Linked DNA regions of Caenorhabditis elegans. The protein of the gene in region 2 interacts with the protein of the main gene of each other region in a pairwise test. Each region holds a gene or a part of one and is shown on either strand. Other genes may lie near its edges.

Region 1 (5,882 bases), on a different chromosome or scaffold from region 2:
TGACATCGAATCCCAAGTCATTGCGTCTTCTTCATCATAGTCATCATCTTCCTCTTCATCACCCGTTTCTCCAATGACCTGTCTTCCATTTCCATTGGCGGCTCCATTCGTCTCCATATGATAGACTTCCATATCAGAGTCGTCATCAGGTTCGGCGTCAACATCCAACTCATCTGGACTATCCACATCAATCGCTTCTTCCTCTTCCTCCTCCTCCTCGTCCCCGCCAAATTGATGTCCAAATTCAAAGTCGTCGTCACGATGTTCCATATTAGAGCAGTGGGGGTTGATTCCTCAAATTTAAAGGTGGAGTAGCCTCAGTGGGGAAATTGTTAAAAACCACTCCTATAGTCCCAAAATGACCAAATATCATGATAAAACTTTCCAAAAAATTTTTGAAAATTTTTTATTTACTGTCAAAAAGTGGCAATTACACAGTTTTTGCTACTCGTAATTTTGGAACTCGACCAAAAAACTTATTTTTTCCTACATTTTTTATACTTTAATTTTGTTTTAATTATTTGTATTAAAACATTGTAGGGGTGTGAACATGCGACATTGCCTTGGATTTCCTCAAAAGCTCGTATTTTTCAAAATTTTGGCGATTTGCCAAAACTTTGATCAGAAATTATGAAAAATCTAAAATTTTTTGGAGTGTTTTATTATTATTATGATATTCGGTTGTTTTGGATCATTATAAGTGCATTTAAACAAAACCCCCACTGGCGCTACTCCACCTTTAAATATTAAATATGATATTTCAAATAAGCTACAAAACTCAGGTTCTAAAAATCCACAAAACCCCGAAAATAAAGCCAAGTCAAAATGCAAATCGATAGATGAGAGAGAAAGAGGCACAGAGGTCTCTTCACTCACAAGATGCAATGCGTCTCACTCTCTATGTCTCTTATGGTCTCGTGTTCACATTAGACTTGGTTCTATGGTGACCGAGACATATCGATAGGAAACATTTTTTCGTAATATGCAACCATCATGTGTCATTTGAAAGTGTTTCATGAGGCTATGTCACTGCAAAATTTTAAGCGGCAAAGCTCTACTCTCAACCCCAAAAATTTCGATCTTAAATTGTTTCAGGCCAGTAGAATTGGTCCTGATTTTTTTTGTGCAAATTTTCAATGTTTTTTAGAACGGCTAGAAATAAGTTTACATTCTGGGAAATTTTTAAAAATTTTAAAAAATTTTTGAAAAAAAAATCTAAAAATTTCCTCAATCCACTCCACTCGGTTCAAAAATTTTTCAGATTTTTTGAAAAAATTTAAAAATTTTCAAAAATTTTCCAGAATGCTTACCTACTTTTAACCGTTTTGAAAAACATTGAAAGTTTGCAACAAAAAAAATTTGGAGCAATTCTACAGGCCTCCAAAGTAGTGAAGAAGTGCACTGTAACAGTTTCAGATCGATGCTAGAGGGGTTGAGAGTGGAGCTTTGCCGCTTAAAATTTTGTAGTAATATATCCTTATGGAACACTTTTAAATGGCACTTGTCTCGTTTTGAAGTCTGACATTAAAAAATAAAATAAAATAAAAACCTTTCCTTGAAAAGCGGCCATGTTATTTTTTAGTGCTAATCTAGTCAATAAACTGTGAGCCAGCTATAAGTTTTGTAGTCATTGTTCATTTTCTAGACAATAAAAAACCAAATAATGTAAATCAATTAAAATATCAAAGTTGTTTATTAAGTTCTTGTGAAACTAATTGGTTTCATTATATACAAAAACTTGAAGTCATTGTTCAGAGTCCGTTCACTTTCTTCTACAGCACTGTCCATTTCCGCATGGAGAGTAGTTAGCTTGGCAGGAGCACGAGTTTTGTGGGCTTTGTGGGCTCTGCTGGCAAGCCGTAGTCGCTGGCTGAGCGGCTTGGCAGGAGCTGGAGCACGAGTCCTGGCAGGCAGACTGGCACTGAGCGGCTGGTTGTTGTTGCTGAACGCATTGCTGCTGGCACGACTGCTCGCATTGTGGAGTACACTGGGAGGACTGGGCGACGGAGGATTGGAGAACGATTTGGATCACAGCTTGGGAAGATGCTGGGGCGGATGTGCTGGCATCGTATGGGTTGTACATTGGAGCTGGAGTCTGAGAAGTGCAGGAGTTGTCACAGGCTGGCTGGCAGGCTGGGGCGCAGTTGGCGGATCCGGAACCTTGGTTGTTGTTGTTGTATGGATTGTACATTTGGGTGTTGGTGTTAGAGTTCTGGTTGTAGACCTGTTGAGTGGCTTGAGCAGTTTGTTGGCAAATGTTGGAGCACTGGCTGTTACAAGCCGAATTGCACTGGTTAGCTGGCTGTTGTTGTTGGGTGCAGGATGATTGACACTGTTGCTGGCACTGTGGTTGGCATTGAGCTTGAGCCTGTTGGATCTCGAGTTGGATGTGGACTACTTGTGGTGCCTGAGTGGATGTGGCTGGAGCATCGCAGGCAACGTTGCACTGTTGCTGGCATTGTGGCTGGCATTGGGAAGCTGGTTGTTGTTGCTGAACACAGGTGGATTGGCACTGCTGTTGGCACATTGGCTGGCATTGGACGACTGGAGCTGGTGTGGTGGTGGCTGGTGGATTGTACATTGGAGCGCACTGGGATTGGCACTGCTGTTGGCATTGTGGCTGGCACTGGGCTACCGATGGTGCAGCCTGGCATTGTTGGGTGCAGCTCTGTTGGCAAGCTGGAGCACATTGAGTGGTTTGGACCTGAAAGTCTCTCTTTGGAGCTATAGCATAAGTTTGCTAGTAACCTGAACATTCTGGGTTTGTTGTGGTTGAGCGCAAGAGCATGATGGGGATTGTTGCTGAACTGGAGCAGATTGGCACGAGCACGATTGAGTCTGTTGAACCTGTTGGCACGAGCATTGGCTCTGCTGGGGTTGAGCACATCCGCATTGTCTCTTCTCACGAAGCACATTGCCCTGAAAATTAATATTCGTAGACTCAAATTTTTAGATCTTGCACAACTTACAGACACCACTAGGGCGCAGGCGAAGAAGGCAATGGCGAGGGAGGTGAAGCGCATGATTAGAGCCGAAAGTATCGGATGAGTATTTCCATTTGATTGTGGGCTTATATACCATCTCGCTTGAAACTATCCCAACCATCTTCCGCCTTCTCATGCCGCGCGGCAAACAATTTATCGCGTGAAAAAGTGTTCGGTAAGACGAGCAAAGATGAAAAAAAAAGAGACGGTGAGCAGTGCACTCGAGTGGCCTATTCAAATAATCTTTGATTGACAAGAGAAAAAATTCATGATGTATGTGCACCAACACTTTGTTGAACTTCCTGCCCGTTATCACAGAATATATAGAGGTTATCGCTAACATGGAAATCAGTAAGTGTGTCGCGGGCGATGGAAGTGCAGAGATTTCCAGTTTGATTCCTGTGACAATGACTTTTCAACAACCGAATAATCGACGAAACAGTGGCACCCTTTCGAAAACGAGCATATTTTTGTATTGTGCCTATATTTCGACATGCTTGGTGAGTGTAGAGGGAATTTAAAACTAGGAAGAAAAAAAAAGAAATTCGCATACTTTTATAAACTTCAAAATTGTTTTTTAGTTCAATGTGGAAAAACATGAACATTCAATTTTTCGATACTATTTACAGGAAGACAGGGCTTGGTCATTCTGTGTCTCTCTTTGTATGGACCTGATGGGTGGTATGAGAGTGGTTTCCATTGAGCAGCTTTTCGAGGGAGTCTTGCAAATGTTTCTCAGCGGATATTTAGGAAAGCATTTCGACGGGCTCTCGAGGAAACGGGGTACGGTAGACAACTAAACGATCCCGTGGTGTCAGCCTGCCTCATTGCGGTTCGATCTACGACAAATGGGAATATTTTACCAGAAAAATTGTGACGTCAGCACGCTCTTAACCATGCAAAATCAGATGAGATCTCTGCGTCTCTTCTCTCGCATTTTTCGAAGATCACAGCAAAATGGGACGTTCTGACTCCACGTGAACGATTCATTTTTACAAATTTCGATTACTGCAAAAATGATTTGTTCAAGTATCACATTGACCTAACAAAAACTACAATCAAATACTTATTTCGTGAGTATTTGTAAGAGAAAATCAAGTTTTCAATTTCAGCAATCATGACCGTCGTACCGTTGAACAATTTGAGTATTTGTGCTGCAGCTGCTCTTATTATCAGTGAGTTCTAATTTGACACTGATGTAGGTACTCGAAGCTAAAATATTTTAAGCTTGTCTGTCTATCGATGCCACGTCACCGTGGTACATAGTCTGCCTGGTTCTAGCAATGTGCATATGCGCGGTGAACCGGCTTTTCCTGAACGCGGAAAAGTTCATCACAGGCAGAGATTGGGTTATGGTACTCGGAAATGATGGTACACTGTCGAATATGAACGCAACTCTGTTGACATTGGATCAATGTACCAATGTTATTGCACCGTTAGTAACTGGTGTTAGTTCTGTGTTCGCTTTTTAATTCCAAAGTAAAAACAAACTAAGTTAAGGCTCTGGTGACCTGGGTTGGTCTTCGTGAAACAGTTGGAATATTTGGTATAGCCTCTCTTGTTTCAATGGCTTCAAAAACCATTTTCCTTAGAGCAATCTACATCTCCAATCCTCTGCTTCAAGTGAAGAAAGACAAGAAAGATGAAGCGCTAGACCCATTCGCCAATTCAAGGCTCAAAGAATCTGTGGTTTACACGTACTGGTGCCAGATCTCATTCCCAGCTGCATTTGGAATGAGTCTTCTATTCATGACAGTGATGGGATTTGATGGATTAGCTGTAGGATATGGCTCAAGTGTAGGGCTTCCGGAATTTGTTATCGGAGCATTCAGATCCTATGGATCCGTGACTGCGATCCTTGGAGCGTTTTCCTACGCATTCTTCGAAAAGCGATACAGTGTCGCCACTTCAGGACTACTGGGATTGGTTGTTCAGCAGTTTTTTGCGGTTCTAGCAGTTATATCCGTGTTCCTCCCGGGATCTCCTATGAACCTTGGTGGATACTTTGGAAACTTCACTATGGGAACTTGGTGGCACGATATGGTTCACTCTTTCGACGGGAATAACGCTACAAACTTGGACCCACATGTTGATTGGAAGCACTTTTCGTCTGATGGTGTCAGTTTGGCCAGCATCTTTGTGTTCTTGATTGCGATTGCATCCGCAAGATATGGTGAGTTTGGGTTTTTTTTAAGGTGGTGTAGTCGAATTTTTTATTACCTTATCAGGCTCAAAATTGTCTGAAAACTCCTAATTTTATAATGAAACTCCTTGAAAAATTCTCAAAAAAAAGTTATGACGGCTCAAAAAATGGGCTAAGATTAGTTAAAATTGAAAATTTGACCGACTTGTCAAGCGGCTGGAAACTATCTTTTTTTGAAACCATGGTCAAAATTTAAGTATACAATGTAATTATCTTGTGTTTTAACTTCATATAGGTATTTTAAAGTCGATGGACGGCAAGTTTTGGTTTAAAAAAATTAAAAATCTCAAGTTGAAAACGCAACATAATTACATTTTGTACTCAAAATTTGACAGTAATTACAAAAAAAAAATTGTTTCCAGCCGCTTGAAAAGCCGGTCAAATTTCAAGTTTTAACTAATACATATTAGGAAATGTCAAAAAAATCAGGAATTTTTTAAAAATTAATTTTAATAATCAATTTTCAGGATTGTGGTGCCTGGATCTGGCTATCACTCACATAATGCAAGTCACCATCCCAGAACGAGAACGAAATACAGTATTCGGAATGCACAACGCGTTGTGCCAAACGTTCTCCGTTTTAAAAGATGTTCTAGTCATTATTCTCCCATTACCGGCAACTTTTGCAATTTGTATATTTATTTCTTACGGGTTCGTCTCTTGTGGTCATATGTTCTTTATTTATTACTTGGTGA
Region 2 (8,505 bases):
CGTCTCTACCGTCTTCCTCTCAGCCTCTCTTTCTCTCACTATCTTATATTGTTGTTTTACAGTTTAAAGTGTATCTAAACCCCGCCTCTTTTGGGGGTCCTTCCTACCTTTTTTCGAATACCTTTGTCAGTTTTCCCCCGTCTCCGGAGACAGGTCCATCCGTACGCAACTCGAAGATTTTATCTCCGATCTAGTCCGGGTCACTTTTCAATTTCTCTGAAACGTCAAATTATCTATTCATCGTATTCTCTCCACCGCTCTCATCTCTCCTTCTATTAACCGATTTGCATAACAAAATTTTAGATTTTATTCCAATTTCATATTTCAGCTAATAATTACAAAATGTGCGACGAAGCCGCCCGTCTTGCCAAAATCGGCCGTCAAGAGTATGATCTCATTAGAATCCACGACGCGCCAAATTGCGATGATCAGACAAAGTTCGAGTGTGACTTGGAATTGGCTCGGTATCAAGTAATTCGCAGTGAAATGGCTTTGGTAAGGTTTTCTTTAATTTCTGTGAATCATTTTGAAGAAAATTTGAAATTAGATTGTCCATTAGCACCCTTAAATACATAGTTGAATTATGAATTGAACATGGTGCATCGACATTTTTTGAAAAAACAAAATTTTCCTTTTTCAATTCACGGACCCGATGCACCATGTTTTACGCGCAAATTATGTTGCGATGGAAACAGTACTTTATTCCACAACCTCAAATTTAAAAAATTGCAATAGTTAAGCCCGTTTTCGGAAAAAAATAGTTTTCAATTTCTCTGAAACGTCAAATTATAAAATTTCTCGACTACTTAGCAAAAACTATTCTGTACGCTGGACAAAATGCAAAATTCAAATGACAAAGCACTAGGATTTTGAGTTTCCAAAAGGCTGTAACTGAACATATTACTCAAAAATTGCAGTTTTACGGGGAATTTTCGAGATTGTAGATCAGTTAACAACTTAAAAAAGATAGTGTAGGCCACAAAAGATTATCCCATTCCACCCTTTAAACCCTTTTACTTTTCCAGAAAAACGTATACAACGAGGAATTTGTGACCCCTGCAAAACTCCGTTATCTCCGTGATGATCTGGAAGCCGCCGAGGAGCATCTGAAAAAGTTGCTTGAAACCTCCCATTGACGCGTTTGATCGAAACGGATTCTGTACATACCTTCCAAATTGTTATTTTTTGTGCTGTGAAGAAATGAAAATAAAATATATTGCTTTTTTCGCAAATCGAATCGGTTTTATTTGAGAAATTTATTTTTAATGGAATGGTGGTTTGGCACTGGAATGTAGAGAGACAATTGACTAGAGTTTAGTTAAGAATTTAAGTAAAACAAATAATTTAAAATCGAGTAATAATGAAATTATCGTCGTCTTCGGATTCTGAATCTGATGGGATCATTGCGGCTGCTGAAGGTGGTGGAAGCATGATGAAAGCGTCATTAATCTGAAAATAGTGGGAATTTGAATAATTTTTTGAAAATTAACAAGTGCCAGGAAATAGGACAACTACTGAAGGCTCCCCAGTTAATGATATTTGGTACAAAATCTATTTAGAAATATCTGCTAGGGTATGCAACCTGCCTCGTAGGAAATCTTAACCTATTAGCACTATTTTTGCTCATTACTTGGTTTGATCGATCGTTTGCTTAAAAATGTCTGCACGTACCTATGACAGAAAATTGTATTGAGAGCCCACTTATACATTTTGCTCAGTCTCAGAGAGAAACTTGGGTACGTGCGGACCCATGACCCACCATTCCAAAGAAAAATTTTGTCTAAAGAATTTCTCGAATTTCTTGCTTCTCTAAATCTATTTCTACTGGAAATTCGCAAGTAGTCAGCTGCTTCTTTTTGTTTTCGATCACCTTGTGATCCTATGAATGGCAGTTCCAATCAACAAAAGTACTTTCTCGGAAAAATTGGAAACTAGGGGTAATTAGCAAACTATTTCAAATTCCAATAAGCTTATCTTGGCGATTGATCTTTTATCACTACTAGTTACCTTGTCTTTTGTCGCTTCCACCCGATCTTCTTGTTCATCATTTATTTTTGTATCTCCCACCACTTGAAACTCCTCCCCAATCACGTTTTCGCCCTTTATCTCCTCTTCGACATTTTCTTCTTCTTCTTCTTTTAACGGTTCCGTTGAGACCTGCGAAGAAAAACAAATGAAGAAGAACATTGGTGATTGTTGACTTTTTGATGTTTGTATCGGTTTCATTTAAATAGATTTATATTTGTTCTAGAGGGGAGAGAATAAATTATAGAATCAGGTCAAAGGGTAGCGGAACTGATTTGCTTTCGAAAATGTGAGAATAACTGTGAAAATCGTGAGTACGACTAGATCCAAGTAATTGGAGCAAATATCGTTTAGGTTCAGGAGCACCCGTTCTTGAAACTTTTGCCCCCCCCCCCTCTCATTCAGATTCACAAATATCTATTTTATGGTGACTCATCAAATGGTCAGAAATATGATTCAAAAGTTGAAAGTAATACTTTAATTCCGTAATTCCTCTCTTAATGTTGCACCTACATAACTGATCTTGTGGATCACACAAGAAAGCTTACCGTCTTTCTGCTCCTCGGCTTTGGCACGGGCGGTACAAACTCTTCTTCAACTTCCCGATCCCTTTTCAGAACTTCCACATCATCATCCTCCCCAACCGTCGACAGAATACTTGACACAGTATCTGCATTTGATCTTGACGAGGTAGTGGAAACATCCGTGTTCCCAGATGAAGACGTCATTCTTCCGATGGACATTGGCATTGTTGCTGACTTGATCCTCTTATCATATAAGAACCTGGCAATTGCAGGAGGTACTCCACTTTCGTCACTTGAGCGGAGGTCTAGCGCATTTTGCTTTGTCAAGGCTCTTCCATTGATTAATACTGTACCAGGAGCTTCGGGAGCATCAAAGCTTGGAGCTTCATATGAGGGAGGTGGTCGGTTGGGAGGCATACTCACAGGCCGAGCGGAGAACGCAGGAATAAATCCTGGAGCTTGGAATGTTGGAGAGGAGAGGTCTGGAGGGAGGCTTGGAGCTTTTGGAGCCGGTCCTTTTTTCTTCCGAAGTCTAATTGTCTCTGGAGCTACCCCCAACTCATACTTCTCCACCAAATGCTTCATAAAAGCCCGATCTTTTTCTAGTGCAAGCGTCGGATAACCCGATTCGTCAGTACTGATTGTGGATAATTGATCCCTATCGAGATCATCCAGGTCATCCAACCAATCGTCAAGCTCATCCAAGATCTTTCTCCCTTGAACGGATGTGCTCCGAATAGTTGACATATAATTCGAGTCATCCGGCGGACTCGCCGGACTCAATATCGGTGTCTCCTCCTGATTCTTCGGGATTGCCAAAGGCCGATGCAACGGAGAAAGTGTATTGAGAGGTGGTGTACTTTTAACAATTGGAATGCAATCATCGAGACCGAAACTAAAAGCACCACCAAGATCACCCGGTCTTTCGATCACCAGAGAGTTAGGCTTCGGTGCAACGATTCGGTCGGCGGTTTGGATTTTTGGAGGTGGAGCTATGTGTGTTGAGATATTCGAAGTGTGGGAGATTGACCTGAAAATTGAAAAATTTTTAAACTTCAGGGTCCAATCAAGAAATACCGAAAAACTACAGGTTGCTCTGAGATTTCTGATGTTTCCTCCTCGTCGTCTTGGGCGTTGAAGATCAAATTCGGCTTGCTGTTCCTGAAAGTTTAATTCTCAACCAACTTTTGATTCAGTTGTCAAATTTGAAAGCGCCAGTAAGAAACTTAATTCTAAAGGAAGTACTTCTTGGAATTGAGGTAAAAAACTAATTCAAAAACTGTGTTGTTAGAAAATGTCATACAAATACTCACTGTGGAGGAGGAGTAGGGGGAGCTGGAGCCTTATAATTTTTCTTGCTCGGACGTGGTGGAGCAATATTTATGTATTGGTGGGATGTTGGTTGATTCTCGTAACCTCTGACAACTTCAACCTCTTCTTCACTTTTTGAAGCTGATGGGAAAGCATCATCTAGTCCAACTCTCTGAAAAGTTGAACTTTTTTGGAGAAAAGTAATTAAATAGTTCCCTACATCTTTTTCTTTTCTCTGCGATCGGAGTGTACTATTCGACGAGGAGGGTCTTATGTAGTAGCTGCTGAATTCTTTATTCATCCACATTGAATTCAAGTAATGCTTGTAGATCACAAACCTTTCATTAACCGTATCAATCACATTATCGCTCGTCCGAAGATTTTCAATTTCCGATGATCCCATTGGACCGACATGAGCCAAATGCCTGTAATATAAAAATTGACTATGATAGATTGTTTAAAACCTAAAACACAATGAGTAAAACTAATACGAATGTAACTAATTCGTCTCCGAATCTACTAATTGTAAGAAACTAATTCGTATGAAAATTGTAAGTTTTAGACGTATGGAGGCACGGGAGAGTACAGAGAAGCTGAGTGTCTTAACTCTCCTCCTCTCATATCTTTTTAAACAATTAAAATGGCGAATTGCGAAAAAATTGAGAATTTAAAAAATTTCAGGTAACGTGATTTGTATTATTTTATTTTATTTTTTACGACAATAGCCCATAGTGTAAGATTTAACGCTTGGTACCTATAATATATAACAATGTTTTATCAATTGTTGCTAGTCCACGTGTGATTAGGTACTACATAACAATTTTAAACTTAATATTCATAGTTGACATGTATGCTAGTTTTGCATTATTGTTTCTATCACTGATTATTTTCATGACTGAATTGTTGGCGGTTCCAGCTGTGTCAGCTAAATTACCTAGCAAAATGGTAAGTTTTGTTTCCAAGGTTTCTGATTTCTAAAACTTGGAATTTCAGTCTATGGATGTCAATATGATAATAAAAGAATGTTGTAATGAGATAAGTGTAGAGTGTTGTAAGCCTAATATTTTTGAATAAACTGTTCATGTTTCTAAATGTTCCTCATTTCTAAATGTTATATCAATTAAAAAAAGCACAATCAGCACAATCAATCAGCTATTGGCTAAATCTTGATGAAAGTTATTACACTGTAAAAATGGGTTGGTTAGAGAGTGTGGGGGAGGGGAGAGTGCAAGAACTCCGCTTCTTTCTCGGGCCTAAAACGTCGACATGTCATAATCCCGCTTGAAGCTAACCTACTAATGTTCTTCAAGAACGAATTTGCAGATACATTCCAATTCGAATGTACGGATTAACATAACATCCTCAACTTTTATTCCTTACCTGAAATCCGACGGCAGTGAGATCATAGTTTTATCCAAGTGTTTGTGCTGATTCTTCGGAGGCAGCAACGGCAAGTCGTTGGGCATTTTCCATAAACCCGGTTCCTGTCTTAAATCAAGAATAAAGTAACAAGAGGCAAAAAAAATCAATGGTCAAACCACGCAAGTTGTTGCAAAAACTGTGGAGAACAGACACCCGGAGTAACTGAGAGAGAAAGGGGAATAGAGAAATAACCGATAAAAACGTGTAAGCAGTTGGAAAAAGAGTAGTGATAAGGAATTATTGAGAAGGAGGTGATGTGTTGAAAGAATGATTCATTTGGAATTGGAAGCCAAGAAGTTTGAAGCTCCAATGACACCCGTGCTCAAGCTCCGCCCAAAGACGCTTGTAAGGAATCTTGAGTTTTGTAGCATGGCGGAATATTGAAGCGTCGTTCGATGGCTCCAAAATTTTGACCACTTTCAGGTACTGCATAAAATCAATTGAAAAATGTTAAAATTCAGATTAACATAGAAAAATCTAGCATAGAAACTACCTTTCAAATATTTCAAAAAGTGTTATCAATTTCTAGCAAATAGCAAATTGTTCTTGCTGATCTCCCATAGATTACTCAGATCAAATTGACAAGAGACGCAGCATGTTGAAGTGAAAAAAGAAAACATGTGTCGATCTGATGAGTAATCTCTTGAGGCTAAAAACCGGGTTACGGAAGGGTATTATGTATATGTATACTCTAGTGTTTGACTGCAAGTCGGACGATATTTCGCAATTTGTTTAACATTGATTTACGAAACCTTTGATGTTTTTAATGTATTACCGAAGATTTACTAGGATTATTTTTGTTTCGTAAAGAATTTAAAATGTGTTGTCATATTTGAAATAATGTTTTAAGCAACTTTGTTCATCATCAAAATTTAAAAAATTCCAAATATTAGTAGTAGTTTATTTGTTTTAATGTATAATATAAAAATCTTTAAAAAATATTCTTCTATTACATATCATCCAAAATTCCGATAGTCCGTCTCAAAATCTCCTGAGCTTTGTGTTCCCTTTCGTCAGCTCCACTTTTCAAATCCAAACTCTCATCCTTATACATTTTGTAGTAATACGACAGACTGAATAGTGACGTGGCATTCACAAAATTGAAGTGAGTTCGATAGGATTCTTCGAGTTGGGAGAAAGTGAAGGGAGCCGTGGAAAAATGAGATTTGAAGGTCGTATAGTAGTGGTTCAGGTATCTGGAAAATGGAAACTGACTCTTTGTTTTGAAATGTGTTTTATATCTCCGAACCCGATTTTCAAATCTCGGCCAAAAAGCGGGCCATTTCAATTTTTACTTCTTTCGGTTATTGAAAATGTTTAGACTTAGAAAAAGATACCTTTGAGTATTTGCTCTTCGATTTTCCACTGACAATCCAAGGCACAAAATACGAATAATATCAAAGGAGACGGGACCCTTTGACACGTGCTGGAAATCGATAAATGCCTGGATCTGAAATTATTCAATTTTATTATTAGGAGTAATTTTATATTCTATGACACGTAGTCCTCTTGGACAACTCTACCTTTCCAGTTTCATTATTCCATAGAACATTTGACGCGTTCAAATCATTATGACATATCACCAATGGCATTCCAAGTTTTTCGTTTTTCTTTTCGGAATTTCTAACTCCATCTTCATCAAAAGCATGCTTAACTTCTTGAATTCTTCCGGAGAGCTCCGCCGGGCATAACTTTTCAAAATCAAGGGTGTCGTTGTGCTGGAATTTTGATTCTGAAGCGTGAGAAAGAGCCGCTCTGGTTTTCAGGTAAGCAAAACACCATACACCATATTTACGGGTTGTTGTGAAAAGTCAATTTCCAATAAGTTCCAAAAATATTCGGCCACCAATTTTCGCGGCCATCAAAGAGATGTGCCCAATTTTAAATTCGAAATTTGAAAAGATGTGCCCAGATTGCAATCGATTGCAATATACTCTTTTTTTTTTATTTCTTACTATACCTAGGGCTTCACTGGCAGACAGGCACATTTTCAGGCCTATTTGAATATCTCGTGCCTGCCTCCCTACCGCTCAAAACTCACCAACATCCTGATATAGGCCGCATCATAAAGCACATTTTCATAATTCTTCCATGGAATCTCATCACTTATCTCAATAATTTTCGCATGAAAATGAGCAAGAGCCTCCAAAAGTTGAAGAACTTGAGACTCATCAAACCCGGGAACAAAATCAATCGAATACACTTTTCCAGAATAATCCTCACACGCCAGACCTGCCATTTTCTCGTTTCCCAAATTCTCGCCGTAATAGGAACGGGGAATTGGGAAACCGGAGAACTGAATTCCCGAGAAGTCAGAGTAAAACGTCACTTCTTGCTGAAAATTGATAGCGTCAAAACAAAAACAAAATACAAAATTACCGCAGTGAGAGTTCGCAGAATTTCCATATTCTCATCTGCATTATCTGGGTCACAGGCAGCGTTGATAGCCGAGATTCGTGGGATCTAGAACTTGAGTTTTTGGAGTAAAACCTTTCGCCTAGCATTTGAGATTTCAAAACCTTGTCAACTTAAAAAATTTAGAAAATTTTCCATAAAATATTTTGTTAGTTGAAAATTTTTTGCTATCTCTCTTGCTCGCAGAGTTATACAGCTCACAATACCTTCACAAAAATCGGGGAGACCACCTTGTCCGCGTGTGCTTCCGAGTTTGGAGTCACTAGAATTTGATAGCACTCTGACCAGAAACTTCTCGAATTTTCCAGAGGTTTTATGGTTATGTTGAACTGAAGATTTTCAAAAATAATAAAAAAATACTTTCAGCACGAGAGGGTCTTACAGTTTTGAAAGGCTCTTGGACGCTGGAAAAGATGGCTTCAATGATTTTTGGCACAACTTCTGCGATTTCGGACATTCTGCAAAAACTTATTATTTTGGTTGAGGGATATGTAGAAGTTGTCGAAGTTTCAGGCCTCGCCCACATATTGGACGCAACATTGGTGTATTTGAAATGCATAGACAGAGATACACCTATTTTGCATAATCTCGGCAGAAAAATTACTTTTCGAGATAAAAATTCACTTCCGGTCTAGCGCCCGAAAAGTTTATAGTGACAGTTTGTAGGGTTTTTTGGAAGCGCCGAATTTTTCACGGTTCCCTTTCAAAAAAATCCTATAAATAGAACTTTGAAAAACAACACTTCGGTACTCTCACCACAATTGCTGAAAGACCATGCGCCTTTAAGCCAGGGGTACTGTATTTTTAT

Evidence for each region. The genes of interacting proteins can lie anywhere in the genome.
Region 1: the proteins of F09F7.5 (region 2) and pqn-54 interact in a two-hybrid assay, tested with the Caenorhabditis elegans proteins (one large-scale study listed by BioGRID).

What each region holds. Positions count from the first base shown.
Region 1 is NC_003283.11:1,462,155-1,468,036, reverse strand, and holds pqn-54 (Prion-like-(Q/N-rich)-domain-bearing protein), read right to left. Parts: upstream 3,048-5,882; 5' UTR 3,024-3,047; coding exon 2,970-3,023; intron 2,920-2,969; coding exon 2,749-2,919; intron 2,705-2,748; coding exon 1,763-2,704; 3' UTR 1,677-1,762; downstream 1-1,676. Other genes in the region: gid-8 (CTLH domain-containing protein), read right to left, coding at 1-270; fpn-1.2 (Solute carrier family 40 member), read left to right, coding at 3,392-3,484, 3,614-3,767, 4,097-4,159, 4,212-4,432, 4,485-5,157, 5,655-5,882.
Region 2 is NC_003281.10:5,543,953-5,552,457, reverse strand, and holds F09F7.5 (CRIB domain-containing protein), read right to left. Parts: upstream 5,349-8,505; 5' UTR 5,327-5,348; coding exon 5,241-5,326; intron 4,286-5,240; coding exon 4,199-4,285; intron 4,145-4,198; coding exon 4,081-4,144; intron 4,033-4,080; coding exon 3,863-4,032; intron 3,711-3,862; coding exon 3,627-3,710; intron 3,580-3,626; coding exon 2,574-3,579; intron 2,158-2,573; coding exon 2,008-2,157; intron 1,450-2,007; coding exon 1,345-1,449; 3' UTR 1,243-1,344; downstream 1-1,242. Other genes in the region: F09F7.6 (Ferritin), read left to right, coding at 343-495, 1,026-1,136; putative kinase-like protein D1044.1, read right to left, coding at 6,232-6,478, 6,620-6,732, 6,806-7,000, 7,324-7,617, 7,662-7,745, 7,904-8,026, 8,080-8,154.